Callithrix jacchus: one gene and its partners. The protein of the gene in region 5 interacts with the protein of the main gene of each other region in a pairwise test. Links are inferred from orthologs where the notes say so. Each region holds a gene or a part of one and is shown on either strand. Other genes may lie near its edges. The genes, in order: CYTH1, CYTH2, CYTH3, cytohesin-4 and IPCEF1.

Evidence for each region.
Region 1: the proteins of IPCEF1 (region 5) and CYTH1 interact in binary tests that used the Homo sapiens proteins (3 or more experiments, as listed by UniProt). The link is inferred for Callithrix jacchus from reciprocal best matches to the Homo sapiens genes IPCEF1 and CYTH1.
Region 2: the proteins of IPCEF1 (region 5) and CYTH2 interact in binary tests that used the Homo sapiens proteins (3 or more experiments, as listed by UniProt). The link is inferred for Callithrix jacchus from reciprocal best matches to the Homo sapiens genes IPCEF1 and CYTH2.
Region 3: the proteins of IPCEF1 (region 5) and CYTH3 interact in binary tests that used the Homo sapiens proteins (3 or more experiments, as listed by UniProt). The link is inferred for Callithrix jacchus from reciprocal best matches to the Homo sapiens genes IPCEF1 and CYTH3.
Region 4: the proteins of IPCEF1 (region 5) and cytohesin-4 interact in binary tests that used the Homo sapiens proteins (3 or more experiments, as listed by UniProt). The link is inferred for Callithrix jacchus from reciprocal best matches to the Homo sapiens genes IPCEF1 and CYTH4.

The regions. Positions count from the first base shown.
Region 1 is NC_133506.1:134,494,852-134,501,209, reverse strand, and holds the start of CYTH1 (cytohesin-1), read left to right. Parts: upstream 1-2,138; 5' UTR 2,139-2,222; coding exon 2,223-2,250; intron 2,251-6,358. UniProt on the Homo sapiens protein: Promotes guanine-nucleotide exchange on ARF1, ARF5 and ARF6. Promotes the activation of ARF factors through replacement of GDP with GTP.
Region 2 is NC_133523.1:42,348,736-42,355,198, reverse strand, and holds the start of CYTH2 (cytohesin-2), read right to left. Parts: upstream 3,477-6,463; 5' UTR 3,450-3,476; coding exon 3,362-3,449; intron 3,083-3,361; coding exon 2,935-3,082; intron 2,833-2,934; coding exon 2,766-2,832; intron 864-2,765; coding exon 745-863; intron 1-744. Other genes in the region: uncharacterized protein LOC128930433, read left to right, coding at 3,477-4,184. UniProt on the Homo sapiens protein: Acts as a guanine-nucleotide exchange factor (GEF). Promotes guanine-nucleotide exchange on ARF1, ARF3 and ARF6. Activates ARF factors through replacement of GDP with GTP.
Region 3 is NC_133503.1:15,992,632-15,999,038, reverse strand, and holds the start of CYTH3 (cytohesin-3), read left to right. Parts: upstream 1-2,481; 5' UTR 2,482-2,612; coding exon 2,613-2,640; intron 2,641-6,407. UniProt on the Homo sapiens protein: Promotes guanine-nucleotide exchange on ARF1 and ARF6. Promotes the activation of ARF factors through replacement of GDP with GTP. Plays a role in the epithelial polarization.
Region 4 is NC_133502.1:208,189,853-208,196,088, reverse strand, and holds the start of cytohesin-4, read right to left. Parts: upstream 4,273-6,236; 5' UTR 4,174-4,272; coding exon 4,155-4,173; intron 2,174-4,154; exon of another isoform or gene 1,962-2,173; intron 1-1,961. UniProt on the Homo sapiens protein: Promotes guanine-nucleotide exchange on ARF1 and ARF5. Promotes the activation of ARF factors through replacement of GDP with GTP.
Region 5 is NC_133505.1:160,969,606-160,975,268, forward strand, and holds part of IPCEF1 (interactor protein for cytohesin exchange factors 1), read right to left. Parts: intron 2,162-5,663; coding exon 1,789-2,161; intron 1-1,788. UniProt on the Homo sapiens protein: Enhances the promotion of guanine-nucleotide exchange by PSCD2 on ARF6 in a concentration-dependent manner.

The DNA of each region.
Region 1 (6,358 bases), on a different chromosome or scaffold from region 5:
TTTTATTTTTTTTTAAATACATGCATATGTATTTATTTAGCTATTATTAGGCAAGAAAAAAGAGAATGTGATGAAGTCTCTGGCCTTGAGTCATGTCAGCACCTGTGGTCACTTTCGGAGTATGACTGGAGACAGTGCCCTCTTGTCTTGCTGTAGATGTGTGTGTTTCCAACTCCCCAATAAGACTTAGCCAAAGTCTAGCACTTCCTGCAAAGCTGCTGCAGGAGTTTACTTTTTTTTTTTTTTTGAGACGGAGTTTCGCTCTTGTTACCCAGACTGGAATGCAATGGCATGATCTTGGCTCACCGCAACCTCCGGCTTCTGGTTTCAAGCAATTCTCCTGCCTCAGCTGGGACTACAGGCACGTGCCACCATGCCCAACTAATTTTTGTGTTTTTAGTAGAGACGGCGTTTCACCTTGGTGATCAGGATGGTCTCGATCTCTTGACCTTGTGATCCACCTGCCTCGGCCTCCCAAAGTGCTGGGATTATAGGTGTGAGCCACCGCGCCCGGCCAGGAGTTTACATTTACAACCAAGACTAGTAAGAGAAGGGTTGGGAGTCTAGCAGAGAGCATGGTACAGAGGGTGGGCTCTGCTGCCAGGTCTCATGCTTTGGCAAGCTGTGTAACCTCTCTGGGTGCTGGCGTTCTCATCCGTGACCTGGGGATGGAGAGGACACCCACCCTATGGGATGTTTTCAGGATTGGATGAGTTAGGTCATATCAAGCTAGGCAAGAAGTAGGCATGCAGTAAGTGTGACCTACTATGGTGGTGTGGTGGGAAGCTATATCTGGATCCAGGAGTTCTACTTCCAAGAATTAAAGAGAAGTGTCAAAACGTGTGCACCTGTGTATTGAGATGCATAGAAAAATTGGAAATCACTTAAAAGTCTTACAATATGGAACTTGTTAAACGTTATGTCTAGACTGTGAATAATAATAAATGTGATAGATGTCCATTTACAGTCATGAAAAAATGTTATAAGTAAAAATAGATGGTTTTAAAACAGCATGTAAAATATGTACACACACACACACACACACACACACACGCAAATATACATCAGAGAGAGAGAACATATATAATATAACAGAAGTCTAGAAAATATATGCCAAAATGTCATCAGTGGTTATCTCTTGGTGATGGGATGCAGGTGTTTCTTTTTCTTGTTACTATTTTCTAATTTTCAACAGTGCATATGTGTCATGAACATAATAGGACTGTGCAGAAAAGAATATTTTTGTACAACATGTTAGGAATCATAATGGGATAAAACCAAACTTATACTGAGAGTTTGGCTTTTGGATTTTTTTTTTTTTTTGCCTCTAATATCTGCTTTCTACTTTTAGCCTGTGACCTCATAACTTGCTGTAATGATTACGATCTCTTAGTCATTCTCTTGGGAAATGTGCTATTATCTCATTGTGAGGGGACCAGGGATTTTAAGGATTCCATTTTAAGAAAATGTAGTCGGCCTTCCATGGGCTCCCCATCCATGGATTTAACCTATTGTGGATGGAAGGTATTTGGAAAATAAACAAAGGTCACACCTGTACTGAACACATACAGACTTTTTTAATGTTCTTTAAACCATCTAGCCTAACAGCTGTTTACAAAGCATTTATATTGTATTAGGTTTTGAAGTAATCGAGAGATGATTTAAAGTATATGAGTGGATGTGTGTACTACTTATATGCAAATACTACACCGTTTTATACAAACTCAAAGATTCAAGCATCTGTGGGTTTTGGTGTGCATGGGGGTTCCTAGCACCAGTCCCCCTTGGATACCAACGAACAACTGCACTGGAAAGTGAAGAGAAAAACAGCAGCGAGCCCTGTCTATGACGTTGGTTGAGCCTGAGAAAAGACTAGAAGTGTGGCTACTAAATTAGCTTGAGTCCACTGTGAGATTGCTTCCAGGGAAGCAGACGGTTAACACACTCAGAAGGTGCGTGAGCTTGACTTCAGGAACTGGGTGGTGGCAGTGACTGGGAGTGCCGCTTCTTTGGAGGCTGGAGGCTGATTGGCCCAGGCATGCGGCCAGCCATTGCCTGTCTGTTCAGGAAGCAGCTCTGAGCTGTCCTAGTGGCTGGACAGCTTCACAGGTATCCCCGGCCCCTCCCAGTCAGACCCCACAGGAAAACTTGGCTCCCAGTAAAGTCACTGCTGTCCTTGAAGGACAGAACGGACTTGTTGTGTTCTGCTGTAAGGAAACAAGATGGTCCTTAAAACTGAAGAGGAGGATGGTGAGTCACTGCCGCAGCCCCTGGCAGGGACTGATGTGACTTGGGGTATATGGAGTGGAATTTTAGGTATCTCTTAATCCTGTGAACATAGTTTACTGAACCTTTTGGGGAGGAGTTAAGGACCAACCTAGACTCTGGTTTTTGTTTTTATCTTACTGTTTTCAGGAGAAACACTGTATAGTGTCTTAGTGGTTAGGAAGCTGAGGCTTTTTCAGGGGTATGTGTGTGTGAGAGAGAGAGAGAGAGAAAGGGAGAGAGAGCTAGTAAGGTAACTCTGTCTTTTTGAACCAAAGAGTTCTCCTCCAATCTTTGCTTTCGTTAGAGTTCCGCCTTGGGTGTTTCTTGGTAGATTCCACTTCATACTTGGTGATTGTATCTACTTCCTGTATCGAAATAACAGTTGGCCAGAACTTCTGGGAATTCCACATATATCCGGAGAGAATCTGATGCTAAAAAGTAAAGACATTAGAGATCAGATTGGAAGAACCAGTGAGATTCGGGATAAAAAATATTGTCTTATGAAATAAAATGTATCTAAGGGAAAAGACAAATTTGGTCTTCTCCTTTTCGTTGTAGGTGAAGACTGTTTGAAGCCTGTGAGGACAGGGTCTGTAGAACTTCCTTTATCTGCTCCACACCCGTCCTGTAAACAGTGGAGCTATGAGTAATGGGATGACAAGCTGTGGCTTCTAAACCCCAAGAGATTCTGCTGAAGAGCTGTGTCTTAAAGCCCTGGGCTAGCACAGGAGTTCTGTTTGTGGATATATGTGTGTTTTGTTGTATTTTATTGTGGCACCTTTATCAGATGGTGATGCTGTAATGCTGTAAGACAAAATAGTAAAATGTGTACTGGCTTGTAGCTGGTAATGCATGATATAAATAAGTTTGCAGTTAATATTAGGGTACATTTGAAAGTGGATTTTGTGAAAGTTGTAATAAAATTTGGGGGTCCTCTTTAGGCCTTTCCTGCTCTGGTTCACTATAAAGCACATATTTGAAAGCCATACCTGTTAAGTGCAGATGATCCTGGACAGCGACCATAGGCAACACCAAAAGCTGCCTCATGTGTGGGAGACGCTGGGAGGGAATGACACACAGGTGTCCATAACAGCGCTTCTGTAGCTGAAGAGGAGACAATAGCGAGTGGCAGTGCCAGGCCAGTGCTGAACTCCTGCTTGATGTTTTTGTAACTGAAAGGTGCATCCATACTAGCCAAGACTGAGTTTCGAAGGGAACACTCTGAGAGTGGCAGAGGACACTAATGACTGCTAGGACGGCAGGAGTGAGCCGGGCCTGGCTGTGGTCCTGGACATGGTCCCTCATGCTTACTTGCTGCTGGTTCTTCTGGGTGAGCCCAGCTTCAGACCACCCAGAGGTGCTGTTTCATAGTCATCTCAGAGTTTAAGCACAGGATCTATACATCTGTCCTGGGCATGCACTCAGTCTCTGGCCATCCTGGAGGCTTTAAAAGTCAACATAAACTACCTGATTCCACAGTGGACATGATGGAGGCGGGGCGTGAGGTTAGGGGTGGGGAGTTTGGACATGGATTACTGAGCAGCTTTGCTTTGAACTAGTAACCTTAAAGAACTGATGCTTCTGCATTTCTGTCACCCCCTTTCATGGTGTTTCCTTGTTGTCACCTGGGACTGAGGGCAGTGTTGCCCCTTCAACCATGCTAAAATAGATGCCCCTAGGTTATTGCCGTGAGAGACAGAGTGGCATTTAGCTAGGTGTAAAGGGAGGGGAACCAGTAGAGTTTCCTCTGGCAGGTCCCTGAAATCCCAGGGGAGGGCAGAAGTGAAGTCAGAGTTATGCTTTTCATAGAGCTGCTTTTAACTAGACTTACTGCCCTAAAGAATATGCCTAAGAAAGGGTACATGGGGGTTTTTGAAAATATTTTTTAAGGAAGTCAGACTCTTCTGCCACACTAATCTCAAACCCACGGTTTTTAGATTAAATATATTGCTGGCTGGGGCTGGGCGTGGTGGCTCAAGTCTATAATCCCAGCACTTTGGGAGGCCGAGGTGGGTGGATCACCTGAGGTCAGGAGTTTGAGACCAGCCTGGGCAACATGGTAAAACCCTATGTCTATTAAAAATACAAAAATTAGCCTGGCCTGGTGGTGGGCGCCTGTCATCCCAGCTACCTCGGAGGCTGAGGCAGGATAATTGTTTGAACCCGGGAGGCGGAGGTTGCAGTGAGCTGAAATCGCACCACTGCACTCCAGCCTGGGTGACAGAGCAAGACTTTGTCTCCCCCACCCAAAAAAAAAAGCTTTCTGCCTTTCATACCTGGTACATATGTTCATCAGTTTTCATTCTGTATGTGTGTGTTAGTGAGAATTAACCAGTATAATTAATTTTGCACTGTTTTCTTAACTGCCAGAAATTATTCTTTTTTTAAAGGTATTTAATCTTGTTAATGGTTAGTCTCCCTTGATTTGCCTTTTTTTTTTTTGAGACAGAATCTCACTCTGTCGCCCAGGCGAGAGCACAGTGGTAGAATTTTGGCTCACTGCAACTCTGCCTCCTGGCTTCAAGCGATTCGCCTGCCTCAGCCTTATGAGTAGCTGGGACTGCAGGTGCATGCCACCATGCCCGGCTTATTTTTGTATTTTTTGTGGAGATAGGGTTCGCCATGTTGGCCAGGCTTGTCCTGAACTCCTAACCTCAGGTGATCCACCCACCTCAGCCTCCCAAAGGGCTGGGATTATAGGCGTGAGCCATCACGCCTGGCCGTAATTTGTCTTTGAACCCTCTCTGTGGCGTCTCTTTGGGATGGAATGCAAAATCTTTGATGTGGACTCTGATGCCCTTCACAGGCAGACACTAAGCCCGCTCCCAGGTACTAGTTGAGGCCTGCTGTGTCCTGGGCCCTGCCCTGTGGTGTGCCCATTGTTGCTGGCCTCTGTCACTTCCAGAAACTTTATCTTGCTTGGTATGCACTGTTCTTTCTGCTTTTCCATCTGGGGAATCCATTGGTCTTCAAGTTCTGGCACCCAGTCTGCCCTCTCTGAAGCCTCTTGGCATTGCCTGGAATTCTGTGAGTACTGGCTGCACTTGGCTGCTGTGGCCAGACGTGCTGCTGCTACTGGCTTCCACGCTTCTCTCCACTGGCCTTTGCATTCTGTACAGGGCAGGGACTGGAGCTATTTAAATCCCAGCCCCAAGCACAGGCTGCGTCTATGGCAGATGCTCAGTAAATGCTGAGCTGAAGTGAATGTGTGTATTTCAGTAGGAGGAAAGAAAGAGCTGAGGATGCAGCCAATGACCTGAGTGTGAATTGGGCTCTATTACTAGCGTACCTGAGGTAGATGATTTATACTCACTGAGTCTTCATCTTACCCGCAAACTGATGAGAACAGTGCATAGTTCATTGTCAGGAAATATGCAGTTGAGCTTTGTTGGAAAATATTTTTTTTTAGAGGGGAGAAGACTGTTGGGAAGTTTTAAAAAGTGGAAATGAGAAAATGTTTTAAGCTCTAAGATACCATGTGCATATAAACCAGTATTATTTGTAGGAAAATATGCCAAACAGAATAAAGTATAGGCTTCTCCAATGGGATATCGGATTTTCAGATTGCATCTAAAATGCTGTCCTTGACATGAACTTTCCACGTTACCCCACATTTTAATGCATGCCTTGTGATTGTGGTAGCCTCTAGTTGGACAAGTTGCTTAGGTTGGGGTGTTTGCAGGAAGACCTGAGGTGCTGCAATTATCAATTCATAGCCCCCGAGATATTTCTCACTCCCTTCCTTATGGATTGATGTTGTATTTTGCAGAATCAAAAATGGTTACCTCTTTATTTTTAAGCAGGAGCATGTTCGGCATTGTACAAAGTGCACATCGTACAAGAAACCTGTATCACCATCTGCTGTGACAAGTTTTGAAGAGGGCTCACTCTGGTTTGAATTGTATAGGCTTTCCTGTTGAGTACACCAGAGGTGAATGCTCACATTATTATAGAGAGGATTAGAACTGCCCTTTCTTCTTAATGAAGGTGAATAGAAACAAGGGCTTGGATTATGCCCCTCTGAAGAAAGCTGACCCGTATCCATTGTCTGAGTCTTTCTATGGCCTCCCAAGTTTTCTCTTTATTATGA
Region 2 (6,463 bases), on a different chromosome or scaffold from region 5:
GCACCACAGCTGCCCTCTGCAGAGGGTGAAGCTTCCCACTGGGCTCCCACACAGGCCTGGCCCTGGGGTGGGGGATGCTCAGAACACACTTTTGGGAGGAATACCTGCCTTGGGAACCCTGGTTAGGCCGGACCTTTGCACAGTTGGGAGAAACGCGGCAAGAACATATGCCACTGACCAGCACCTCTCTCAAATGATCCCCACACTCCCCAGATATCCAGACACAGTCCCCACAGCCGCCAGACACCCAGAGATGCTTCCCACACACCCCAGATCTCTATAAATCCCTGATTCCCAGAAGTCCACAGATGGCCTCCAATCATCTGATTCCCGTCCAGTCCCATGCATCCTAGGCTTACAAATGACGCCCACAACTCCTAGGCGTCCACGAGGGCCCAATAGTCCCCACAGCTCCCAGCTGACCACATGGTGCCCATGCACAGCCATGGTCCACCCATGGTTCTCACGCTCCCAAGATACTTGAGAGATGTTCTCCACTGTTCAGATATAAATGGATGCCTCTCCAGACCCCCGCCCCAGGGAATTCCAGAAGGTCCCTGCACCCCCAGATGCTTCAGTTGGCCGCAGGCTCTCCTAACCCCCATGTCAGTCCATTCTGTCAGTCTGAAGGATGATCTGCCAGAGCCTCTCTGATGTCCCACCTGTGAGCTGCCAGTGTAAGGGCAGGAGCTGGGCATGGGGGGGCGGGTGAGAAACCCCACGGGAGCTGAGTGGTGGCCATACCTCTCCCCCAGGTAGTCCCCGATGGCGGTCTTGTTCAGCCCCTCGCCCTTGTATAGGAAGCGGGCGATCTCCTCGGGTGTGTTCTGCAGAAGTTCGTTCTCCACCAAAAACTGGATGCCCTGGTGGTGGGGACAACAAGGTCTCAGTGCTGAGGGCCAGAAAGCCACTCCCCTCACCTCCCGGGGAATCTCAGCATCCATACCTACCCCCACCCTCAACAGACCAGGGCCAGCTTCATTTTCAGCCTTCTCACAGGTCCTTAAACAGCATTCTTCCTGACTTAGAGCCTTTGCAACTCATGGCCCACCCTTTCTGCCTTTGCCTGGTTAACTGCAGCATCAACAACAGGGTCTGGCTAGGAACAGGGGCTCACTACATTTTCTTTCTTTTTTTTTTTTTTTGACAGTCTCATCCTATCTCCAGGCTGGAGTGCAACGGTGTCATCGCAGCTCACTGCGATTCCGTTTTCCGGTTTCAAGCAATTCTCCTGCCTCAGCCTCCTGAGTAGCTGGGACTACAGGCACGCACCACCACACCTGGCTAATTTTTTTGTTTTTCAGTAGCGATGAGGTTTCACCATGCTAGTCAAGATGGTCTCGATCTCTTGACCTTGTGATCCACCTGCCTTGGCCTCCCAAAGTGCTGGGATTACAGGTGTGAGCCACCACGTCCGGCTTTTTTTTTTTTTTTTTTTTGAGACCTGGTCTTGCTCTGTTGCAGACTGAAGTGCAGTGGCGTGATCACAGCTTACTGCAGCTTTGAACTGCTGGGCTCAAGGGATCCTCTCACTTCAGCCTCCTGAGAAGCTGGAACTATGGGCATGAACCAACACACTTGGATAATTGATTTACTTATTTACATCTTTTCTAGAAATGAGTTATCACTATGCTGCCCAGGCTGGTCTCAAATTCCTGCTTCAAGCAATCCTCCCGCCTCGGCATCTCGAAGCACTGGGATTACAGGCGTAAGCCAACTAAACCAGCCAATAAACAGTTACTGAATGACTGAAAAGGGTTCCAGTTGCTTCAGGAAACAATAACGTGACAACCTGTTAGCAGTCTCTCCAGGGCTGTGAACTCAAGAGCCCAGGCTAGGCTGAGGCTTCTCTGAGTCTCTGTGCTATGAAGACCTCTCTGTTACTGCCGTATCTCACTCTGAATTGTGCTACTGGTGTTCAGGGAGTGCAGGGCAGCATCTGATTCTTCTTTTGGTCTCTAGCATCATCCTATACAGGATCAGACTCTCAAGAGGCCTCGGAAAATGGGTGTTAAATGAGTATGTGAACAGGCTGGGCATGGTAGCTCACGCCTCTAATCCCAGCACTTTGGGAGGCTGAGGCAGGCGGATCATGTAAGTTCAGGAGTTTGAAACCAGCCTGCCCAATATGATGAAACCCCTTCTCTACTAAAAATAGAAAACTTAGCTGGGCATGGTGGCGAGAGCCTGTAAGCCCAGCTACTCGAAAGGCTGAGGCAGGAGGATTGCTTGAACCCAGGAGGCAGAGGTTGCAGTGAGCCAAGATCGCATCACTGCACTCCAGCCTGGGTGAAAGAGCAAGATAATGTAAAAAAAAAAAGTGAACAAAACACTTTCCTGAACCTGGTGAACACCTATTCATCCTTCAAACCTGACCTGAATGTCTCCTCCTCAAAGAAGCCCTCCCTGACTCTACCAGCCTGCCCCCTCCCGATACCTCTGTCATGGCAGTCAACTCTCGTTTGTGCACGCCCCTTTGTCCACAGCCCCTACAAGACTCGGAGCTCATCCTGAGACTAGAAGAAGTGCACCCATACAAGTAGACAGTGAAAGAGAACCCTCCCGGCAGGGGACGCAACTAGAGTGTCAGGAGGGCTGGAACACTTTGTGTGTTCCAAACGGACAGCCAGTCTCTGAATCCAGGGATTAGGACCAAGTCTGTCCACCTAGAACAGACCCGGAGCCATGCTTCTGGAACCCGGAGGTGCCAGAAGTTCCTGCCTGGACGTCTGCCCAGCTGATCCCAGTCCTGTGGCCCCAAGCACCTTCTTGGGGTCCATGTTGAACTTCTTCCTGCCCATTGCCATCTTCCGGTTCCGCTGCAAGGTCTTACTGCAGGAGCAGAGAGCAGGGTAGGGGGCGGAAGGTCAACGCCTGGACATCCCTGGCCTCGGCCAACCCCACGCCCCCCAGGTCGTCCACCCCAGCCCTCACCTGCCCTCATTGGCCTCTAGCCCCTCCACCTCGCTCATGGCTTCGCTGAGCTCCTCCCGCAGGCGCTGAATCTCCACCAGCAGCTCCTGCTTCCGCCGCCGGATGTTCTCCAGCTCCATCCGCTCCTCCGGAGTCAGGTCTGGGGGTTCTGGGGGTCAGGGTCAAGGTTTCAAAGTCAGTGCTGGGGGCTGTGAGCCGGGATTCCCGCAGTCTGGGGGTGGAGAGAGCTCGGAAAGGACGCATAAGGGGCTTCCTATGTCTGGACCGAAGAATGGACTGGGGGCCTGGATTCCAAACTCTCGAGTCCTGGGGAAGGAGTGGACTTGGGGCCCGGATTCCTGAGTCTGAGGGAGAAGGGGAATGGGTGCTTGAGCTCTTAGGTCTGAGGGAAGAAAGGGCTGGGAGCCGGAATTTCTAGGTCCATTACTTGGAAGGGGACTGAGGCTTTGGTTTTCTGACTCCATTCCTGGAGAGGTGGTAGCTGAGGACCTGGCTGTCCGGACTCCTGGGTCCATGAAAAGTCACTACAGCCAAGGGAACTGATGACAGCTCGACAGAGTTGGGAAGGTGGGGCGGGACATCGACGGCCCCCGCCCCCCAAGATTTCTCCCCTCCCGGCAACCCGAGTGCCCCTCCCCGGCAGGCGCCGGGCTCGCCCGCCCCTCCAGCTGGAATGGTTCCGCCTCGGCCGCGCCTCCACCGCTCCATCCCGCCCCTCCCGCCGCCACCGGAAACAGGCTCAGCCCAAACAATGGCCTGGAACACCCCGCTCTCGGTTCCAGCCGGAAGCCCGTCCAGCGCCCCACAAAAGCGGCGCGACGAGGCTACGGCGGGACCCAACGCCTCTGGGCGGCACGCACCAGGAAGAAACGTTCGCGGCGGAACGTTCAGGAGAAAACGCTCTAGCAGCTCCCATCCGACCCCGCCCCTCCACGACCTACCATAGACGCCGTCCTCCATGGCGGCTAGGAAGGCCCGCGGGGAGTCCGGGGCGGTCCCGCCAGTCGGGCCTGGATCCGCGTTGGCCCGCGGGCTCTGGTGAGCCCGCTCAAACGCCCCGGGAGCCACCGCCGCCTCCTCAGCGCCAGTCCTCAGCGCTGAAAAGACCCTCCCTTCGTCTTCCAACCGCCCCTTCAGTAGGGACCGCCCCTCTTTTTGACACCGTCCAATCCACAGTGGGCGCTTTCGTCCTCCCCGCCCTCGACACCAAAGGATCGTCCTCCAGGGCCAAGAGTCGCACAAAAAGCTGATATAGGTATGTCTGGCCGGAGGTAGACGGCCCGCGGGACCAATCGGAGTGCAGGCAGGGCAGCAGGCCCCGCCTCTGAAACAACAGATGGCCCTTGACAGGCTTGCTCTCCAATGAGAAGCCTCGGAAAAGTGTTGCGTGGAGGCGGAGCTATGTGGAGCAGACATGACGGCGCCTGCTCAAAGGCCTTGGACACTGGGAGACTAGGTCAACCGAACCCCGCCTCCAGCGGTGCGTTGCTAGGGGGAGGTACTTTGTTAGTCTTGTTGCCAGGGGGCGGGGCTACAACTGTGGCTTGTTTTTGAAAGCCACACCTCCTAGCAGCCCATGCTGGCTTCTGACCGCAGAGGTTGCCATGCAACGGGGAGCAGCTTTGAGCCTCTTTTGCATTTCTTCTCCGGGTACTTTCCTCTCCTCTCAGTCCCTTCTAATCTTCAAACTCCTTACCATCATCTATGCCCTCCCCATTCCCCTTAGCCTCTTCAGAGTCATGGAGTGGTGAAACGAAAGATTTATTCTTTTTTTTTTTTGAAGTGGAGCCCTGCTCTGTCACCCAGGCAGTGGCGCGATCTCGGCTCACTGCGACCTCTGCCTCCCGGGTTCAAGAGATTCTCCTGCCTCAGCCTCCCGAGTAGCTGGGACTACAGGCACACGCCACCACTCCTGGCTAATTTTCGGTTTTTTTTTTTTAATAGAGTCGGGGTTTCACCGTGTGGGTCAGGCTGATCTTGAACTCCTGACCTTGTGATCCGCCCGCCTTGACCTCCCAAAGTGCTGGGATTACAGGTGTGAGCCACTGCGTCCGCCCAAGATTTACTTTTTCTAAATGCTATGCTATTTGGTGTCATGGAGAATGGAACATGGGAAGGTCAAATTTTGTGAAAGCATAAGCTCGGCCTTCCTTCCCTTAGCTTGTATCACCCTCCTAATACTCCTCCCTTCCACAAGTATCCTCCCCCTAAGACAACTCCCCTTTCCTCAGCATCCTCCCTCCTCTCTGATTCCTTCTCCCATCTCAGAAGGCCTTTTCTTTCTCTCTGGCTTCCCTCACTTCACCGTCCCTCTCATCCTCTCATACCCTTGCCCCTCCCCTTTTTTGGGGAGTATGGAGTTTCACTCCTGTTGCCCAGGCTGGAGTGAAGTGGCACAATCTCGGCTTACTGCAACCTCAACCCGCCAGGTTCAAGCGATTCTCCTGCCTCAGCCTCCCAAGTGTTGGGGGGAGACCTGGTAAGTGCCAAGGCAGGAGTCCGAAGCCTCAGCCTATTCCCATAGAAGTAATGAAGAAGAAAATAACTAGAGGTATAACCATAGTAGTTACTCATAGGTGATCTTAGTTCTTTTACTAATGACTCTCAGGTCGCAAAGTGTGAACCTGGGGTGACGTTGTGAAAGGAATGACCCTAAGGCAAGATGCTTTAAACGTCTGTCATACCCATGTAAAGGCTGCTGGAGGGCGCCTTGGCTATGCAGCAGCACCAGCGCTGGGAAAGTGCCCGCTGTTTAGGAAGCTGCAGAAAGAGATGTCAGAGATGTCTCCTTCCCCCGGGGAGTTAGGAGAAAACTCCACTCCTCCAAACTCTTGCGGTAGGGCTGGCAGCTGTCAGGGAGGCCCGCAGACATCCGGGGGCGTAACTGTCTCTATGTGACGCTGTGCCTCAGCGGTCATGTTCCAGGTCCACTCTCATGTTCCGCTTCTGCACCTGGTTCCTTTTTTCTCAGAAGAGATAATCGGTAAAAGTAATATAAATCAGGGCCGGGCGAGGTGGCTCACGCCTGTAATCCCAGCACTTTGGGAGGCTGAGGCGGGTGGATCACGAGGTCAAGAGATCGAGACCATCCTGGTCAACATGGTGAAACCCCGTCTCTACTAAAAATACAAAAAATTAGCTGGGCATGGTGGCGCGTGCCTGTAATCCCAGCTACTCAGGAGGCTGAGGCAGGAGAATTGCCTGAACCCAGGAGGCAGAGGTTGCAGTGAGCCGAGATCATGCCATTGCACTCCAGCCTGGGTAACAAGAGCAAAACTCCATCTCAAAAAAAAAAAAAAAGTAATATAAATCTTTATGTCTTTGTTCTTTCTTGACAGCTATGGAAAAGTGCTGACACGTTATGCTCCTTACCTCATCTCGGCTACTAGAAAGTCTTGGGCCCCCGCCTAAGACGTTGGGCCACTCTCTTTTCTCTATCTCTGTGTCTTGTGTCTTTTATTTCTAGTTTCTCCTCTCCACACCAGCAGAGAGGGGCTCAAAAGACCCTGTAGGGCTGGACCCTACACCA
Region 3 (6,407 bases), on a different chromosome or scaffold from region 5:
TTACTTCTTTTGACTTGTGAAGATTTTGAAGTCTTCCAGTTTCTCCATTAAAGCGCAGAAATGACACCCAAAGATTTTATCCTCACAGTGTTTTTGCAGAATTTGTTGAAACGCAGGCCCAGGCTAACCCATGGGTATAATATAATATTCTGCTTATGTAGCTGGGCTGTGCTTTAGTCTGATGAAAATTAGATTAGATGGAGATCAGAGAGGCCACTTTCAGATTAAAACTCTGAGAAAGGCTGGGCACGGTGGCTAATACCTGTAATCCCAGCATTTTGGGAGCCCAAGGCAGGCAGATCACCAGGTCAGGAGATCGAGACCATCCTGGCTAACATGGTGAAACCCAGTCTCTACTAAAAATGCAAAAAATTAGCTGGGCATGGTGGCGTGCACCTGTAGTCCTAGTTACTTGGGAGGCTGAGGCAGGAGAATCGCTTGAACCCAGGAGGTGTTCAAGTGAGCCGAGATCATGCCACTGCACAGAGAGAGACTCTGTCTCAAAGAAAAGAAAAAAAACTCTGAGAGAAGCACCTGTGGATCACATTCGAAGACATCTAAAGAATTGACATGAAAAAGCATTTATAATTGATAGTATCTTTGAGTTCAAAGCTCCACTATCTAATTATCAAGTTCAAAGTAGTGGTGTCCTTTTTTCTCAGTAACTATGCTCTTATCTCCAAGATAACAAAGCTGACGGGAACAAGATCAGGAAGCCAAGTCTGGGGGTTGGGAGTTGAACCCTACATCTCCTGACCCCTAGACCCCTTTTCTGGTGCCTCTTTGTCACTCAAGCTGTAAATATCTTTGCATGCAGAAGTGTCCCTCAGCTGGGTGCAGTGGCTCACGACAGTAATCCCAGCATTTTGGGAGGCAAAGGTAGGAGGATCGCTTGAGTCCAGAAGTTTGAGACCAGCCTGGGCAACATGGCAAGGTTGTTTCTCTATAAAAGAATACAAAAATTAGTGGACACCTGGTAGCCTGTACCAGCTATTTGGGAGGCTGAAGTGTGAGGATCATTTGGGCCACTGCACTACAGACTGGGCAACAGAGTGAGACCCTGTCTTTAAAAAAAAAAGAAAGTGTCCCTCGTGGCTTTGGTTGCACCAGAATGCTTGGTTTTTAATTCTTGAGGTTATTAGGAGATTTAACTCTGAAATCATCTCGCAACCTTGAACCAAAAGGTGACAGCTATTCCACTTTGATAGATGACAACGGAAGGATCCTTTGGTTCAATGGACAGCTTATAAATATAAAACAGTTGCTGGAAAATTATATTAGAGATGAACTATCTCCTCCATTACAATGTTTGCTTTTCTGTAATGCAATTTAGTTCCAGCAGAAAGGCTTGGGAGAGGCCACAAGCAATGCTTCAGGAGTTACTGGAAGCAAGATATGGGGAATGAGAGAAGAGATCCATCGATGTGGAGCAGGGGCCAGCCGAGGCCTTGTGCCCAGGAGGCTTGCGCTGAGGACCCTTGCTTTGCCCAAGGGAAATTGAATTCAGAGCTCCTTCTGCATCATAAATTCAGGGCAGCTGGCAGCTCTCCAAGGGATACTGGCGCTAAACTCCAAGGGCATCTGCCGCCAGATTGGCCAACCCCTACAATGCCCTTTGAGGGCTGAGCCCCAGGTGTGTTGGATTGGGATGCCGATCCAGCCTCACGACAGCATTCATTTAGAAGCTCTGCATTTTGTTAATTTAAAAATGCACTCACCGTCAGGGAAGGAGAGCCTCTATTATATATGAGACAGCTGAAAGGCTGGAATTATTCTGACATGCCTATCTTAGGAAGGAGAAGGCCTGACCTTTTTCTTCCTTTTTTTTTTTTTTTTTTTTTTTTTTTTTTTTTTTGAGACAGTCTCACTCTATCACCCAGGCTGGAGTGCAGTGGTGCAATAACTCACTGCAGCCTCGACCTGCTGGGCTCAAGTGACCTGACCTCCCACCTCAGCCTCCCCAGTAGCTGGAACTACAGTCACGCGCCACCATGCACGGGTAATTAAATATGTTTTTTGTAGAGACAGGGTCTCCCTATGTTACAGGAGCTGGTCTCGAACTTCTGGTCTCCAGCAATCCTTCCATTTCAACCTCTCAAAGTACTGGAATACAGGTGTGAGCCACCGAGCCTGGCCAGGTCTGACTTCTGAATGCGTTCGTTTTTTGATCTTTTACCCCGAGTGCAAGTGCAAGTTACACTCCTGACCACTGGGTTTTGCAAAATGTGGTTTCCAGTGTCCGAGGCCCCACGCCCGTCCGCAGGCTACTGAAAGGCTGAGGGCTAGGAAGCTTCGCTCCGCGCGCTTCAGGTCCGCCGGCGCCCTAGGGGCCGGGTCTACAGCAGCAGAAGCCGCCGGGCCGGGCCGGTTCCCGAGGGCGGGGCCGTGCGGCCTCACGCCCCGCCCACCCCCGGGGGGGGGGCGCCCTGGGTCGGTCACGTGACGGCACGCCGACCAGCGAGGCCCCGCCCCGCGGGAGGAGGCCCCGCTGCGACCCGGGCTGCGCGCTGAGGAGCCGCCCGGTCGCCCGCACGCTACCTCTGGCTGCGTCCCCCGCCCGCGGCCCCTCTGCCGTCCGCCCGGGGCTTGCCGGCTGCGGGAGTGGCCTCAAGATGGATGAAGACGGCGGCGGCGAGGGCGGTGAGTGTCGGAGGTGTGGCGGGCTGGCCGGCGGCCTGGGGCCGGGGGCTGGGGGTCGCGGGCGCGGCGCCGGCCCGGCGTCCGCCTGAGGAGACTGGGACTGGGGCGGCGGCGGCGCCTGCTGGAGGCCTGAGGCGCGCCGGGCCGGGGCCGAGACGGGGACTTCGGGGGCCCGAGGGAAGCGGCTGGCCGGGGTCGCCGTCCAGCGCTGGCGAGGGTCCCGGTACCAGGCCGGGGCCACCGCGGGCCGGGGTCGCCCCAGAGTCTCGGGCGGAGGTTCGGGGGTCGCTCCTATGGGGCGGGGGACCTTGTGGGGCGACCTTCCCCGCATCTTGTCGCCAAGGGCGTCCACGCCCTCCGGAGCCAGGCGTTTCGGACGCCCCCTTTGAGCTCAGGTGGGCGGAAGCGGCTGAGCCGGTGGGGAACCGGGAGGGGAAAGTTTGGCATGGGGGGCTCCTCTGGGGTACAGGAGGGGAGGGCAGGGGGAGCGGTTGGAAAGCGTGACAGGCTGCTTGGCTTGGGTCAGAAACGGTCGCCGGATTTGCTCGAACGGGGAGGGGTCTAGCTGGAGTCCAGGTGGGGGTAGGCGTTTTAGGAAACGGCAGACGCGACAGAGTGAGCAAAAAAACTCGATGGAGCGGAGGGTGGGGGTCAGGAGCTGCACCCAGCACCGAGGCGAGACCGGAGAGCCAGATGTGCTCCCAAGTGGGTCGGGTCGGTGCCCGACGTGCCCCAGGTGGTCTGTGCCTGACATTCGGTTTCCTCTTACTGGAGGAATCGTGTTTGTTGGAAATTATTTCGTGGAATACAAATGACTGTTGGGTCATGCTGCGAATTAGATTTTAAAAACAGAAGAACGTGCCTGTCTGTATGGAGTGGCTGTTCGCTTTGGAAAGCAAAGGGTTAATGCCTATGTTTTTACAGGAACAGACGAAGTTGAGGTTCTCTAGACTTTTTTCATTTTTGGCTTTTTTTGAGCTAAAGATCTCCTTTGAGCTGACAGAAATCAGAATCATCAGAACCTCATGTAATAAGGGAGCAGTTTAGAGAAATCTTAATTACAGGCTGCCGCAGCAGCTGCCTGTAAGAATCAGCAGTATTGAATGCTTCAGGATGAAGTGGTTCATCATCAAGGTGCCTTCTAGAATTCAAGTGCTGCTTAGAGGGAGATTCTTTTTGCTGAAAGACGCGATGCAGCCAGGATGGTGGGAAGTTGGCACCCGTCATGGCATTTGGCGAGTTCAGTTCTCATAGTTGAAGCTAGGGGTAGCACTGTGGCATCGAGTGGGTGTGTTTATGAAAAGGGAGCGTTGCGGAACGAAGGAGCCCAGTTGCAAACCCTCCTACAGTCAGGTTGTCCGTCTGGAGCCACGAGATCCTAAGGAATGGATTCCCGGTGGAGGTCGTGTTTCCTGCCTGTCATAATTTGGGCAGAGCAGTTTTCTCTTGTTAGAAAAGAAGGACAAACAACTGTAATATGCAGACGTTTGGCATTAGAGTCAGGGCAGCTCGCTGGCTTGGCAGTTTGTTTTGTACTTTGGGCTCTGAGAAAAGAAATGTAGACTTGAAGATAAAAGCAGGGATAAAGAGGAAAAAAAGGAAGCTTTAGTGTGCTCCAGCAATTTGCAGATCTTGAATAGTATAACAAAGGATGATATTAAGTATCAAAAGTCTTAAAACTGTCCTTGGGCTGTTATTATTATCACAGGGAAGCAACCTTAAAATAAAAAAAAACCTCATGTATAAAGATGGTGTATTATGCTGTTTGTAATAGCAAAACATTGAAAACAGCAATACCAACCGTAGGGGCATGGTGAAGTAAATTATGGAAAGTTTATTCAAGTATTTTACAACCATTAAAATAAGCGGTTTTATACATCATGGGTTAAACAATGTAAAAACTGGTGACATTATGGATTATTTTATTTTTTTCAAGTTTTCCAAGTTTCTGGAATAAGCATGTATTTCAAATTTGAAAAAACTTATAAAAGACATCAATGTTTTAAGTGTATTATTTAATTCACCTCACCAGAACATTCAACAATGAAGATTTATTTATTGATTGCCCAGTAAAATGCCAGCCAGCATGTTAGGTGCTGGAAAATAACTTTTAACTTTTATCGATTTAGTTTATAAATAGCTTTCTCCCTTGCTTTGTGACAGACACTTAAAAATATTTTTGGTAGACTGGGTGCGGTGGCTCACTCCTGTAATCCCAGTACTTTGTGAGGTCGAAGAGGGCAGATCACCTGAGGTTGGGAGTTTGAGACCAGTGTGACCTACATGGTGAACCCCGTCTTTACTAAAAATACAAAATTAGCTGGGCGTGGTGGCGTATGCCTGCAATTCCAGCTATTCAGGAGGCTGAGGCAGAAGAATTGCTTAAACTGGGGAAGCAGAGGTTGTGGCAAGCCAAAATCGTGCCAACGGTTGAGTTTTGAGCGAAACTCCGTCTCAAAAAGAAAAAAAAGAAAAAATACACACACACACACACACACACACACACACACACACCGTATATATTTAGCAGTCTTAGGATAAGTATTTATTTTATTTTATTTTGAGACAGTCTTGTTTTGTCTCCAGGCTGGAGTGCAGTGGCGTGATCTCCGCTCACTGCAACCTCCGCCTCCCGGTTCAAGCAATTCTCCTGCCTCAGCCTCCCAAGCAGCTGGAACTACAGACGGGCGGCACCATGCCCAGATAATTTTTTATATTTTAGTTAGAGACAGGGTTTCACTATGTTGACCAGGATGGTCTTGATCTCTTGACCTCGTGAGCCACATGATAAGTATTTATTTTTGAAACAGGTGAAAAGCAAAGTTTTGAAATATGAGTCATATTGTAATTATTGTATAAACTTGATGTGCTTATATTTAACTCTTGGCAGTTGGAAATTTTGAAGTTAACATACCTCTTTACAGTTAATACCATTTAGCTTTAAAAAAATGGTTTAAAATTCATGTTTAAAAAAATAAAGTTCAGCTCTCTGATGGAAAACCATTTCAGTTGCCAGCAGATTATAAAGCATAACACTTTTTGGTATATTTTTAGAGTGTAATACTTAACATTGAATTGTATCTGTGGGAGTCAGTTTCAGCTTGTTTAAAAGATAAAGTAAATAATCTATTCAAACAGTAGTTATGGTAGAGGCCAAAGATAATTTAAAATGTCTTTTTTGTTAATGGTCAGACTATAAGACTTGAAAAATTGATTCCTACTTGCTGTTTTTGTAAGTTAATTTAGCTTTTTGTCCACTGTATTGTTTGTTCTTTAAATGCAAGATAAGGAGAGAGAGGATGGTAGTGTGAATGGCTGGAAAGCAGTTACAAGAGGAGCAGGTTGGGGGTACAAGATTGCAAGAACACGTTGTTCCTTATAATGTGTGCAGAGTGGAGTTAAGGCATTTTTAATTCCTTTGGGACTTTGTTGCCCTTCAGTTTTTCCAGAACAGTTCTTGAGCTAAGTCTCTGCATGGAGGGTGACTGGCTAGTTTGGCTCCTTGGAATTGTCTTCATGCCCTGTTTGGGCTGGAGCATCCCTGGCAGATGAGATGAATTAACTCTAATTGGCATTCCTCACCCTACCTCATTCCCTCTCTGAGCAGTGTAAGTGAGGGTTAGGTCTGTGCTTCAGGTGAAGCGATGCTGAGCCTCGTTCATAATAAAATATATGCAAATTAAGACTAGATTGAGCTCCCACCTTTCACCTTCAGACATGCAGTAACCCCCAAGTGTGAAAAGTCTGTTGGCAAGGCCATTTCAAAC
Region 4 (6,236 bases), on a different chromosome or scaffold from region 5:
CCCAAAGTCTTTGCGCCACCACTCCTTGCGCCTAGAATATGCCCTTCCTTCTCCTCTGCCAGCAGCTCCTCCTTATGTCCTACTCTAGATCCCCTTTCAGGGGTCTTCCTGGGTTCCATCTAGGAGCCATCCCCACCCCCACCCCTTGCAATTCCCCACAGCATTTCTGGGATCTGCATGGCTCCATAACCAAGCCATGCCCTTGGTTAAGGAAGGCATGCCACCGAGCACCTACGGTGTGCCAGGCCCTGTGCACTCCGGGCTCTTCCCATCCACTCTCCCATTGAATCCCACAACCACTCTGTCAGGAAGGTATTTCCAGGCTCATCCTACAGGTGAGGCCCCTGAGACTCAGAGAGGCAAAGTGTCCTGCTGAAGGTGACACAGCTGGAGGGTGGCAGGGCTGGGATTCACATCAGGGCCCATCTGGGGCCCAGAGGCCACAGCCCTGATGTAGAGCCTCCAGAGCCTGATCAGTCTGTACGAACCGTCAAACACCTGTCAGACGCTAAACCTGGGTTTCTGACAGGGTTACATGTTTGAGAATAAACACAAGATGCAGAATGATGCCTGCAATCGCCCCCACCCGGCCCTTGCAAAGCCAACATTGTAGAGCTGGGGAAACTGAGGCACGGTTCCCAGGGGAGTGGGATTGCATGGGGATAGTAAGCAGGTTGCTCGCGTCTTTACCCCACACCACTCCTTTCGTACTCCCTTGTGGGTGACAGTGTGTTTGTGAATCCTCAGTCCCCTGTCCCCTTCTGATGGGGCCCCGTCCCTAGCAGGTGGCAGTCAGTCAAAACATCTGAACCCACATGACGGCGCCGATGGCCCCAGGCCTGCTGTATCCTGACATGGTGCACACGGAGCCTCCTCACCCTTCCCCTATTTGTTAAAGAGTGGTGATTTCTCCCCATTTCAGAGTTTAGGGCGTTGAGGTTCAGGTAGGGCCACTAGGACACAGCCTGAGAGGGGCCGCTTCTGATTCTAAGCCTGATAAGAACGGAGTTTCAGGCACTGGTGTAGGCTCATGGGAGACGTATTTTTCTCTCTCTCTCTCTTTCTTTCTTTCTTTCCTTCTTTCTTTCTCTCTCTCCCTCTCTCTTTCTTTTCTTTCTTTCTTTTGACGGAGTTTTGCTCTGTGGCCAGGCTGGAGTGCAGTGTAACAATCTCGGCTCACTGCAACCTCCGCCTCCTGGGTTCTAGCGATTCTCCTGCCTCAGCCTCCTGAGTAGCTGGGATTACAGGCGCCCATCACCATGCCCAGCTAATTTTTTGTGTATTTTTAGTAGAGACGGGGTTTTACCATGTTGGCCAGGCTGGTCTCAAACTTCTGACCTCAGGTGATCCGCCAACCTCAGCCTCCCAAAGTGCTGGGATTATGGGCGTGAGCCACCGTGCCTGGCTGGGAGATGTATTTTTAATTATACTGCTGATACACAAAAACAATAAAATCACTATCACCACCACCACCACCGACCCCGTTTCCTCCTCATTTATCTCTGTGCTTCTCACAACCTTGCAAGGCACCGCTTGGACCCCCCCACCCCAAGTCCCCAGGCCGGCGAGGGTGCCCATCTCCCGGGCTCCTCCTCACTTCCCCTTTGTCCTTCCTCTTTCCCGTTGTATTTTTAGAAATTTTGAGCTTGCAGCCCTGCTTCCAGGACAGCTGGCCTCACTTCCCCTTTCCAGGCAGGAGGAGGGCACCGTCTCAGGGCCCTAAAGTCTCAGTGGGAGGGACCCTGGGGCAGAGGGGGTGTGGGCGGAGCTGTTCCCCGCCCCAGCCCACACGCCCTACAGGCTCTGCGGAGTGCGGCTTCCTGTCCCCCAGCCCAGCTGCCTGTTTTTAACCATGGCTGCCTGGCCTGTCTACTCTGCACCAGCGCAGTGCTCATCTTTGCTGCCGGCCCTCTTGCCTTCCTGGCAGGCCCTGGGGGCGCCGGGGGCGGGGGGCGCCTTACCTGTTTCCGGACACAGGCCCACCGCAGGAGAGCGGGGGAGGCAGCCCTGGTGGGAAACTGAGGCCCCACAGGAAGAAGAGATTGGTCATGACCACAGGCAGGATGGCGCAGAGCTGGAACCCCAGCGAGATCCGGCTAACGCCCTATCCCCGCTTCCCCAGGCCAGGCCAGGATGAGGGGATCCACACTGAGATGACAAATAATCGGAACTCAGAGAGGGGAAGTCACCGGGCCATGGAGAAGCCTCAATTAAGACCCACTCTACGCAACAGGGAAATGACCTCTCCTCCCTCCCCCTGGCCTCCTCCTCCAGGAGGTCTTCCCAGATCTCCTCTGCCCCAGTGAGAAAAGTGCTTTCTCTTATCTCTAGGTCTGTGTCCATTTGCACAGCTGGGTCAGGGTCCTGCAGAATCTGTCTCCTGCCTCTCTACCCCACCCCCAACATTCAGACCCACACCTGTCCCCCAGGGTTAGGCCCATGGCTGGGTCACTGCTGTCCCCAGCACTGCATGGCACACGGGAACATCGGTTATAGAGTGAATGAACGAAAAGACCAACCACTCAGTGGAGAACCAGTGTTTGCTGTACTGACCCCATTTAATCCATTTCCTCCCTAGTACCAGCTGAAGCAAGCAGAGACTCCCCTTCTGGCCCCCGAGGCCCCTCCTCTGCCCTCTCCACAGCGCCGGCCAACCTGGGCTTTCTTCCTCAGGTTCTCATCCCTGCTCTGCCACGGACTGGCCGTGTGACATCAAGCAAGTCAGTCCTTGCCTCCAGTTCACCTCTGGGGCCTCAGTTTCTGTATCTGCACCATGGAGAGAGCCACCCCTGTAACCTCAGTATGTTAGGACCACAAAGGACAAAGCACCCTGCTGGACACACAGGCGGGGCTTGCATCTCAGTGGGTGCCCTCTCTGCCTCGTCCCACCCTCACATCTGCTGAGAGGCCTGAGCCAAGAGCCGCCCCTCTCGGGGTCTCCCTGTGCCTGCCAGGTACCCCACCAGCTATGCTCACTGAGTTGTGATTGTGGGAGCCCCCAAAGCCCACAGGAGAGGCAGGGGTCAGAGAGTGAGTCAGTGGCCAGGGTTCGGTCCCGCCCCTGCTTTAGAGAGGCTGTTTTCCTCCCTTGGTCTCTTTTCTCCCTTCTTCCACTGGGGTCTGTTGAAATGGATCAGAGGTTCCCTAACTGTGTTCCCTGCAGCCCGGCCCCGAGGCTTCCATCTGGGGGTGGAGTGGGGGGAAGCCCAGTGGGTGGGGCCAGGATGCTCCACGTTAGGGGTGCTCCTGGACAAGGCTGAAGTCACCTGGACCCGGGGAGCAGACAGCTCCCACCAGCCCTTATGTTCTGAAATTCCAGCAGCCGTGTTCAGTAGAACGGTTGCGGTTCTGGAGCACGCTGACATCCAGGGTGCAGAAACTTGGCCCCTCTTCTGCACCTTCCATTTGCCTCCCAAAGCACGACCCTGCCTGTTCTTTCCCTCACCAATGTTGCAGCCTCTTTTTCCCTCTTTTCTCCCCAGACACGCTGTCCTAGTAGCCAGGGAGGATTTCAGTCAGGCCCTCTGTTGCTCACTCCTGGCCCTCCCCTGGCTCTAGGCAGTGTCCTCAGCCTCCCCAGAGACCACCCCAAGCCCAGAGGGCCAAGAAGGGGCCTTGTATCACCCAGACAAACGTTGCCATCACCAACATCACATCATCATCTTAATCTCAGAGCACTTTTCCCAGTCCACCTCTGAGCCTTTGCACCAGCTATTCCTTCTGGCTGGAATGTTTGTTCCTTAGAAACCTCCTTAGCTGACACCTGCTTCATGATCTGGGACCCCTCATTAGATAGCATCCCCTCTTGGGGACCTGTTCCCCCACGCCCTCCCATCTTCCTTGTCCTGCTTTACAGTCCTTCATCCTACCTGCCATCAACGGACATGTGACATGACCTTAGAATCACTGCCTGTCCCCCGCTCTAGGGCACAAGCCCATGAGAGTGGGCACAGCGTGCCTTTACTCACTGCTGTGTGCCCAGCCTCTGGAACACAACTGGACACCTCGGCTGAGCCCGCAAATGTTTGTTTCTTGCAGCTGCATTTCTGCCTGTACTGTACTCCCTTATCTAGGACCCTGTGAGGCAGGGGCTGCTGCCCCCTTTCTAAAAGACAGGATGCTGAGGCCCAGAGAGATCGACCCCAGGTGCTTACCGTGGTGGCACAGGTCCATTCCGATGCCCCTGGGGGGAAAGATGACCTGTGCTCCTGTCGTTTGTGGACCCAGCTGCTGCTCGGGCTGGCCTGGCAAGGATGCGTCACCTTGACTGTCACAGGCCCCTTCCTGCTTGCCCCGCCCGGCTCTGTGTGGGGAGGAAGTCAGTCCTGGCCCACTGGGGTCTCGTGTGCAGGCTTCTGACACAGCAGCACTTCCTAAAAACTGGCAGAGTTTCGTACAGCAGGGACCTCTGCCAGGGAGGGACAGAGGTGGAAAAAACAAACAAACAAAACATGAAGTGAGGGGAGGGTCAGATAAAAAAGAGAAAGTGAGACAGAGAAAAACACAGACACATAGGCACACACACGTGCACAGGCACGCGCACATGCACACACGAACACACGTACACCCGCACATGCACGCACGTGCACACCCATATGCACAAATGCACACTCGAACACACACATGCACACACCCACACATGCACACACGCACACGCGAACATGCATGCACACACGTGCATACCCACACAGGCACAAACACATGCACACACACACGCACACACGCACAGACACGGCGGACAATGTTCACTGAGGGTGAACCCTTCTCCAGGGGACTGGGGCATTTACCTGGCAGCCTCCTCACATAGATCCCATAGGAACAAGCAACTTGGGCAGACCTAGCGGGACCAATAGGTTCCACCCCACAAGCTCTCTTCCAACTCCCACTTGAGAAAAGACAAATGAATCCAATGGTAGGAAGGGGCTTTGCTTCCCTTCAAAGAAATACCTGTTTTTTTCTTGTCTAGTGAGCAATCGGGTAATATGTTCTGTTTTCCTTCTCCCCAGGCTGCTGGGAAGCTCATCATCAAATCCAAAGCTCATCAACAGCCATTCTGTGATGTCGTATGAACTTTGGGGCCTGACTCAGCTGTCTGACTCTCAGCTCTGCCCCTCAGGATCGATGTGGACTTGGGCTAGTCAGCCTTGCTTTGCTTATCTATCTATTTATCTATCTATCTATCTATCTATTTATCAATCATCTATTTTTTGGGATGGAGTCTCACTCTGTTGCCGAAGCTGGAGTGCAGTGGTGTGATCTCGGCTCACTGCAACCTCCACCTTCCAGGTTCAAGTGATTCGTCTGCCTCAGCCTCCTGAGTAGCTGGGATTACACATACATGCCACCACACCGTGCTAATTTTTTATATTTTTAGTAGAGACAGGATTCCAACGTGTTAGCCAGGATGGTGTCGATTTCCTGACCTCATGATCCGCTCGCTGTGGCTCCCAAAATGCTAGGATTACAGGAGTGAGCCACTGCACCCGGCCTGCTTATCTATGAACGGGGAGTAACACTAACTCCGGGATTTAGTTTTTTTTTTTTTTTTTTTTGAGACAGAGTTTCACTCTTGTTACCCAGGCTGGAGTGCAATGGCGCGATCTCGGCTCACGGCAACCTCTGCCTCCTGGGTTCAGGCAATTCTCCTGCCTCAGCCTCCTGAGTAGCTGGGATTACAGGCTGCACCACCATGCCCAGCTAATTTTTGTCTGTTTTTTTAGTAGAGACGGGGTTTCACCATGTTGACCAGGATGGTCTCGATCTCCTGACCTCGTGATCCACCCGCCTCGGCCTAACTCTGGGATTTAGAAATGATGGAGTGAGAGGATGTGTCAGAGATGCTTGGGACATACGAGGTGCTCAGTAAGCACGTTCTCCTTTTACTTCCATTTTCTTCTTTGGTTAGAATTCATCATTTGTTGCTTGTGCCTTTTTGGGCAGGTTGGTTCAAATCCTTTCTAGGAAAAGCTGTGCTATAAACAAACAGCTATGAAATAAATGTGAACTCCCTATAACTTCATGGCACACGAAGGTTTGTTTATCTGTTTCGCCATGACTCTGCAGGCCACATGAGGGCAAGGTTACCTTTTGTGCTCTGGTATCTGGTACAATGCTGGTGACATAGAGGGTGTGCAAGTGTGAAATGAATGAACTAATGAATGAATGAATGAATGAAGGGAACATGGTGGAGATCATGTGGTGGATGTGAACTCTAGCTACAAGTTCATCTCCTTTCA
Region 5 (5,663 bases):
ATCTACCTCCTTTTGACTTGCACCATTGAACTCAATTTTGTGCTTCCAAGGACATGCATTTAAGCTCAATACTTTGTCCACACAGCAGCACCTCACAAACCTGAGGGTGGGTTGAGACTACTCTTTCCGTTCTCACAGTCCAGTCTTTAGCCCTCTACACTCCTCGGTGGCACTATTTCCTTTCTCCTCCCTATGCTACTCCTGCACCTCTACAAATAGGTTGGTTTGCCAATGACTTTATTCACTCCAGTTCTTCTAATGTAAAATAAATAGTTGGCCTAAATAGTGGGGAAGGGTATAAGAAAAATGCCATCAAGGCCGGGTGCAGTGGCTCACACCTATAATCCCAGCACTTTGGGAGGCAGAGGTGGACAGATCATGAAGTGAAGAGATTGAGACCATCCTGGCCAACATGGTAAAACCCCATCTCTACTAAAAATACAAAAAGTAGCTGGGCATAGTGGTGCTTGCCTGTAGTTCCAGCTACTTGGGAGCCTGAGACAGGAGAATCACTTGAACCCAGGAGGTGGAGGTTGTAATGGGCTGAGATTATGCCACTGCACTCTAGCCTGCTGATAGAGCAAGACTCTGTCTCAATAAAAAAAAAAAGAAAGAAAAGAAAAAGAAAAACTCCATCAGAGGCCAGACAGATCTGTATAAAATATCTTTAGGTAAGGCCTCAGAGAGTGGCGATAGCTATTATAACCTGGAGAATTAGTTACCAGGCTGACTATTCAAATTTACATAGTTTTAAAACACTATACAGATACACGCACACACAAAACAACTTGGTCTAAAGTTGTGATCCTTGGCCAAATTACTCTGATACCAAAAATTAAATTAACAGGGTACCCATCTGAAATTTGAGAACTTAAAGAAGTCTTCCGTGATTAGGCTAGAGGAGAGGGGAGAGCGGTCATCTACATCATTAGACACTCTGGCAGGTTATTATGGGAATCTAGCAAGTCAACTTTCTCTCAATGGCACACCAAAAAATAAACAAACCAAACTCATCATTCTTTCACTGCTCAGTATCTTCCATCAGGTAACCCTGTTTTACAGCAAAATGAATAATAGCACACAATCAGAAAAGACATTATGATAGAACAGAAATAAAAATACATTAGTCCTGAATAAAAGGTAAGGACCAGTTATCAGAGTATTTTTTAAACCTCATATTATTGCCTTCCATGCTCAATTAACTCTTTCCTTTGTTAAAACTTAAAATGTTTTTCAAACACATAAGTTGTGCTCTCCTTTATATGTAAAGGTTCTAATGCTGCACAAAGTGCGGGCAAATTGTCTTCCCATTAACCACACAGGAACATTCAGGAGCTGGCGGGCTAAGAATTAGACAGTGTCTGGGGCACAACCCAGGGAAGGCAGCTGCTTACAGCTCATTTTGAACTATCAATGTAATGTGAAAAATACCAGACTACAAAGTCCTGATTTAACCACCACAAGCTCCAGAGCATGTGACATGGGACCAAAGAAAGAGGCAAGGTTTTTCTCTGATTAGTGAAAAAGTATCATTATTTTATGATCACATGTCTTACAGTTCTGAAGCAGTTGGTTAGTGACACTTACAGCAAGTAATTAGTGGCCTAGTAGCTGGAGTTGCCACATGCAACCCCTCTACAAAGCAACCTCTGGGCATAACCCCACTTGACTAATTCTTGAATCACCATTCATGAATTTAACCATTCTTGTTACAAATTAATATTAGAGTTCCATACACACACACAAATATTCATTCTCTAAAGAAGAATGAACAATTTCTTGGTTTACCTTTGTCCATGACCTTTGATCCAGCAGGCTTATCTGGGACAGTAAGATGGTCGTGATTGCTACTCAATGAAGAAGTATCATCACTAGATAAAGAGTTCAAAAATCCACTTTCTGATGTGACAAAGCTGTTTTCCGGGACCTTGTGGCTGCCTGTCTCTGCAGGTACAGGTGAATGAACCTGCACAGCAAACGTTATTGGTTGTCCCTCGTCTTCAGCAGCAGACAAACTGTTAACTGTGTCAGGCCAGGACTGTCTCTCTTTAGATAAGGAGGAAGGAAAACTGCTGGGTGTCTTCACTGTATTTTCCAGGGAAGAGAAAGAACATGATGTTCCACTCAGGCTGGGTGAGGATGAAGATGCCTGCTGCGCAGCCTATTTTTCACAAATAAAACCAAAAAAAGAATAAAAGACATCGTGATTAAACCACCATTCTCTACCTTTCATTTTCAAAAAAGGTGTCCCCGTGTTATTTCAAAAAGTGACCAATAATAAAAGAGTCAAAAATAAAGGCATGATATTTATGTCTGTTTGACACACATTAGGATTTCATTCTCCAAAACTGATTTATGTAACTTTCAATTCACTGTTCTAGGATCTGAAAAATCTCCTTATCACGAGTTGTCCTATTCTTCAATGCTCTCCAGAAACTTAAAGGGCCTCTTTTGGGAATCCTTCAGAATACTGCATTATACTTTGAGCAAAATAAAATTTGCAATCTTTTGCTGAATTCACACTGATGGAGCAAATAGATAATTATGAAAAAAGAGAAGCTGGGTGTGGTGGTTCATGACTGTAAGCCAAGCACTTTGGAGGCCATGGTGGGTGGATCTCCTGAGGCCAGGAGTTCGAGACCAGCCTGGCCAACATGGTGAAACCCCATCTCTACTAAAAATACAAAAATTAGCCAGGCATGGTGGCACGCATCTGTAGTCCCACCTATTCGGGAGGCTGAGGCAGGAGAATCACTTGAACCCAGGGGGCAGAGATTGTGGCGAGCCAAGATCATGCCACTGCACTCCAGTATGGTCAACAGAGTGAGACTCTGCCTCCAAAATGGAAAAAGAGAGCAAAAGCTGGAGCCATTCCAGAAACAAAATAATGTTACCTGAGTGGAGATGAGTGATGGGTGCAAAGCATATGAACCTAAACCCTTGAATATCGCTCACCTATTCCTTATTGCATGACAAGCCTTGGCAACATTTTCATTAGTACAGAGAGAAAACATCAAAGCAACATCCCAGTGATACGGTTAGCTCTGTATCCCCACCCAAATCTCATCTCAAATTGTAATCCCCACATGTTGAGGGAGGGACCTGATGGGAGGTGCTTGGATCATGGGGGTGGTTTCCCCCATGCTGTTCCAGTGAGTGAGTTCTCATGAGATCTGATAGTTTAAAAGTGTTTGGCGGTTCCCGCCTCGCTCACTGTCTCTCCTGCCACCACGTAAGATGTGCCTTGTTTCCCCCTTTGCCTTCCACCATGATTGTAAGTTTTCTGAGGCCTCCCCAGCCATGTGGAACTGTGAGTCAATTAAACCTCTTTCCTTTATAAACTACCCAGTCTCAGGTAGTTTCACACTCTTATAGCAATGTGAAAATGGACTAATATAACCAACAAGGACACTTTTGGGAAGAACTTCATTTATTCTGAGATTTTTATCTTTCCTACATTTTGATGTTGAAATATATGCCTTCTTTTGAAAAAATGGTGACAGCAGCTGGGCGGGGAGGAGCTCAGGCCTGTAATCCCAGCACTTTGGGAGGCCAAGGTGGGTGGACCACGAGGTCAGGAGTTCAAGATCAGCCTGGCCGAGATGGTGAAACCCTGTCTCGACAAAAAATACAAAAATTAGCTAGGCACAGTGGCAGATGCCTGTAATCCCAGCTACTCGGGAGGTTGAGGCAAGAGAATTGCTTGAACCCGGGAGGTGGAGGTTGCAGTGAGCCAAGATCACACCACTGCACTGCCTATGTGACAGAGCAAGACTCCAACTCAAAAAAAAATGGTGACAGCACATATAAGCCTTTGTCTCTTTGGAGTTTTTTAAATGTCCTAAGTAGCAAAATAAAGATTCAGAAATTCTATCTTGTTCTTCCATTTTTTAATTTTTAAATAAAATTTTTAATTTTATTGGCCAATAAAATTTAAAAATCTAGACTCCAGTACTCTATGGATCACCCTATATTTCCAACAGCAGATAAGATAGAGAAGGCATTTTACGGTTCAGTTGCATTACATCATCCTATGGGGCATGCCTGCCAATGTCAAGCATTCAGAACTCCAAGGAAGGCCAGGTGCGGTAGCTCACAACTGTTATCTCAGCACCTTGGGAGGCAGAGGCAGGTGGATCTCTGAGGACAGGAGTTTAAGACCAGCCTGGCCAACATGGTGAAACTAAAAATACAAAATTAGCAGGGCATGGTGGCTTATGCCTGTAATCCCAGCTACTCGGGAGGCTGAGGTAGGATAATCACTTGAACCCAGGAAGCAGACGTTGCAGTGAGCCAAGATCACGTGATTGTACTCCAGCCTGAACAACTGAGTGAGACTCCATCTCAAAAAAACAGAAACCAAGAAAATCTCCAAGGAAGTGTCAGGAAGGTTGATAGAGAGAGGAAGCCAAAGAGCAAACTAGAATCCTCTTCAAAAACCTCAGAACCATAGCAACTAATTCAGAAGAGTTGACTCTGTTTCAAATCAATATGGTCCACAGGAAATTTGTAGATTCTGAGCTCTGAGTTTTCATGGGAGAAGCCAATATTTACCTAATGTGTACCCAATCAGCTCCATGCTCGACATGGATTGTCAGATAATCAATAAATCTACTTTTAAGTAGCATGACATTAAAATCTCTAGTTAAGATACTAATCCCACATATTTTATAAATGATCATATACTGTCACGGACATTAAAAAAATTCCATTCAGGAATAAGTGAAGTAGCTTGTAAACTGGCTATCTTACGTCACTTAGATATTTAATAACCAACAGATCAAAGATCTGTCATTTCAGTAAAAACCTAGTTATCTAGCAGAGGGAATGCACTATCCCAAACTGTCCAAATAAATACTAGGAGTAGTTTACTAATTAGCAAGATCTACAAAATAAATATTAACAAAAATATCTATTCTGGCCCAATCCTGACACGCTCCCCCATTGTGAGCTATTTTAGTAAAACTCAATTTCTACATGATCAATCTCTTTTTTGAAACACCAAACATGAGCTTTTCCTATTACTCCTGCTGATTCTGCTTTAAATTAGGTTATAGCCAACTGGGCTATTTGAACAAGAGACCATGCACACAGTTGCTACATCACTGTCTGTAAGGTTTTTTGAACCTCAAAACTCTGCTTAAAGTATTAAGACCTATTAAATGAGCATCAGAAATATCTGTGCAGTGTCATCCTGTTTGTGGTGTGACTCAAACACAGTGCAAATGCTCTCTCAACCCATTTTCTCTAGACACCACGTACCACTTATAAATTTCATTTTTAAATGAAGAAAAGAAGAATGAAGGGTAAAAAAGAAAGAGGGAGAGAGAAGAAAGAAGAAGACTTGGAGAAGAGAAAAATGAAAATGAGAAAATGACTACATGTATCAGGTCGGGAGAGTTTTCACTGGAAGTGAGAGTGATAAAGTACAAATCAAAGTGAACCTGGAGTTCCATTTCCAAGGATTCAGTATGGGAACATGTATTATAGACGGTGTAGTGCTAAGGCATGGCTCATGATTTCTAACATTCCAGAGAAACCAATAGCCAAACACTGAGCATAGAACTCAGCTCAGTGCCTTCTGTGAACCATCTGTGCAATATACTCATAAAGCTCCCCAGTGAAAATCAAATGAAAGCAGAAGGCAGTGCTAGTTCTCTCCT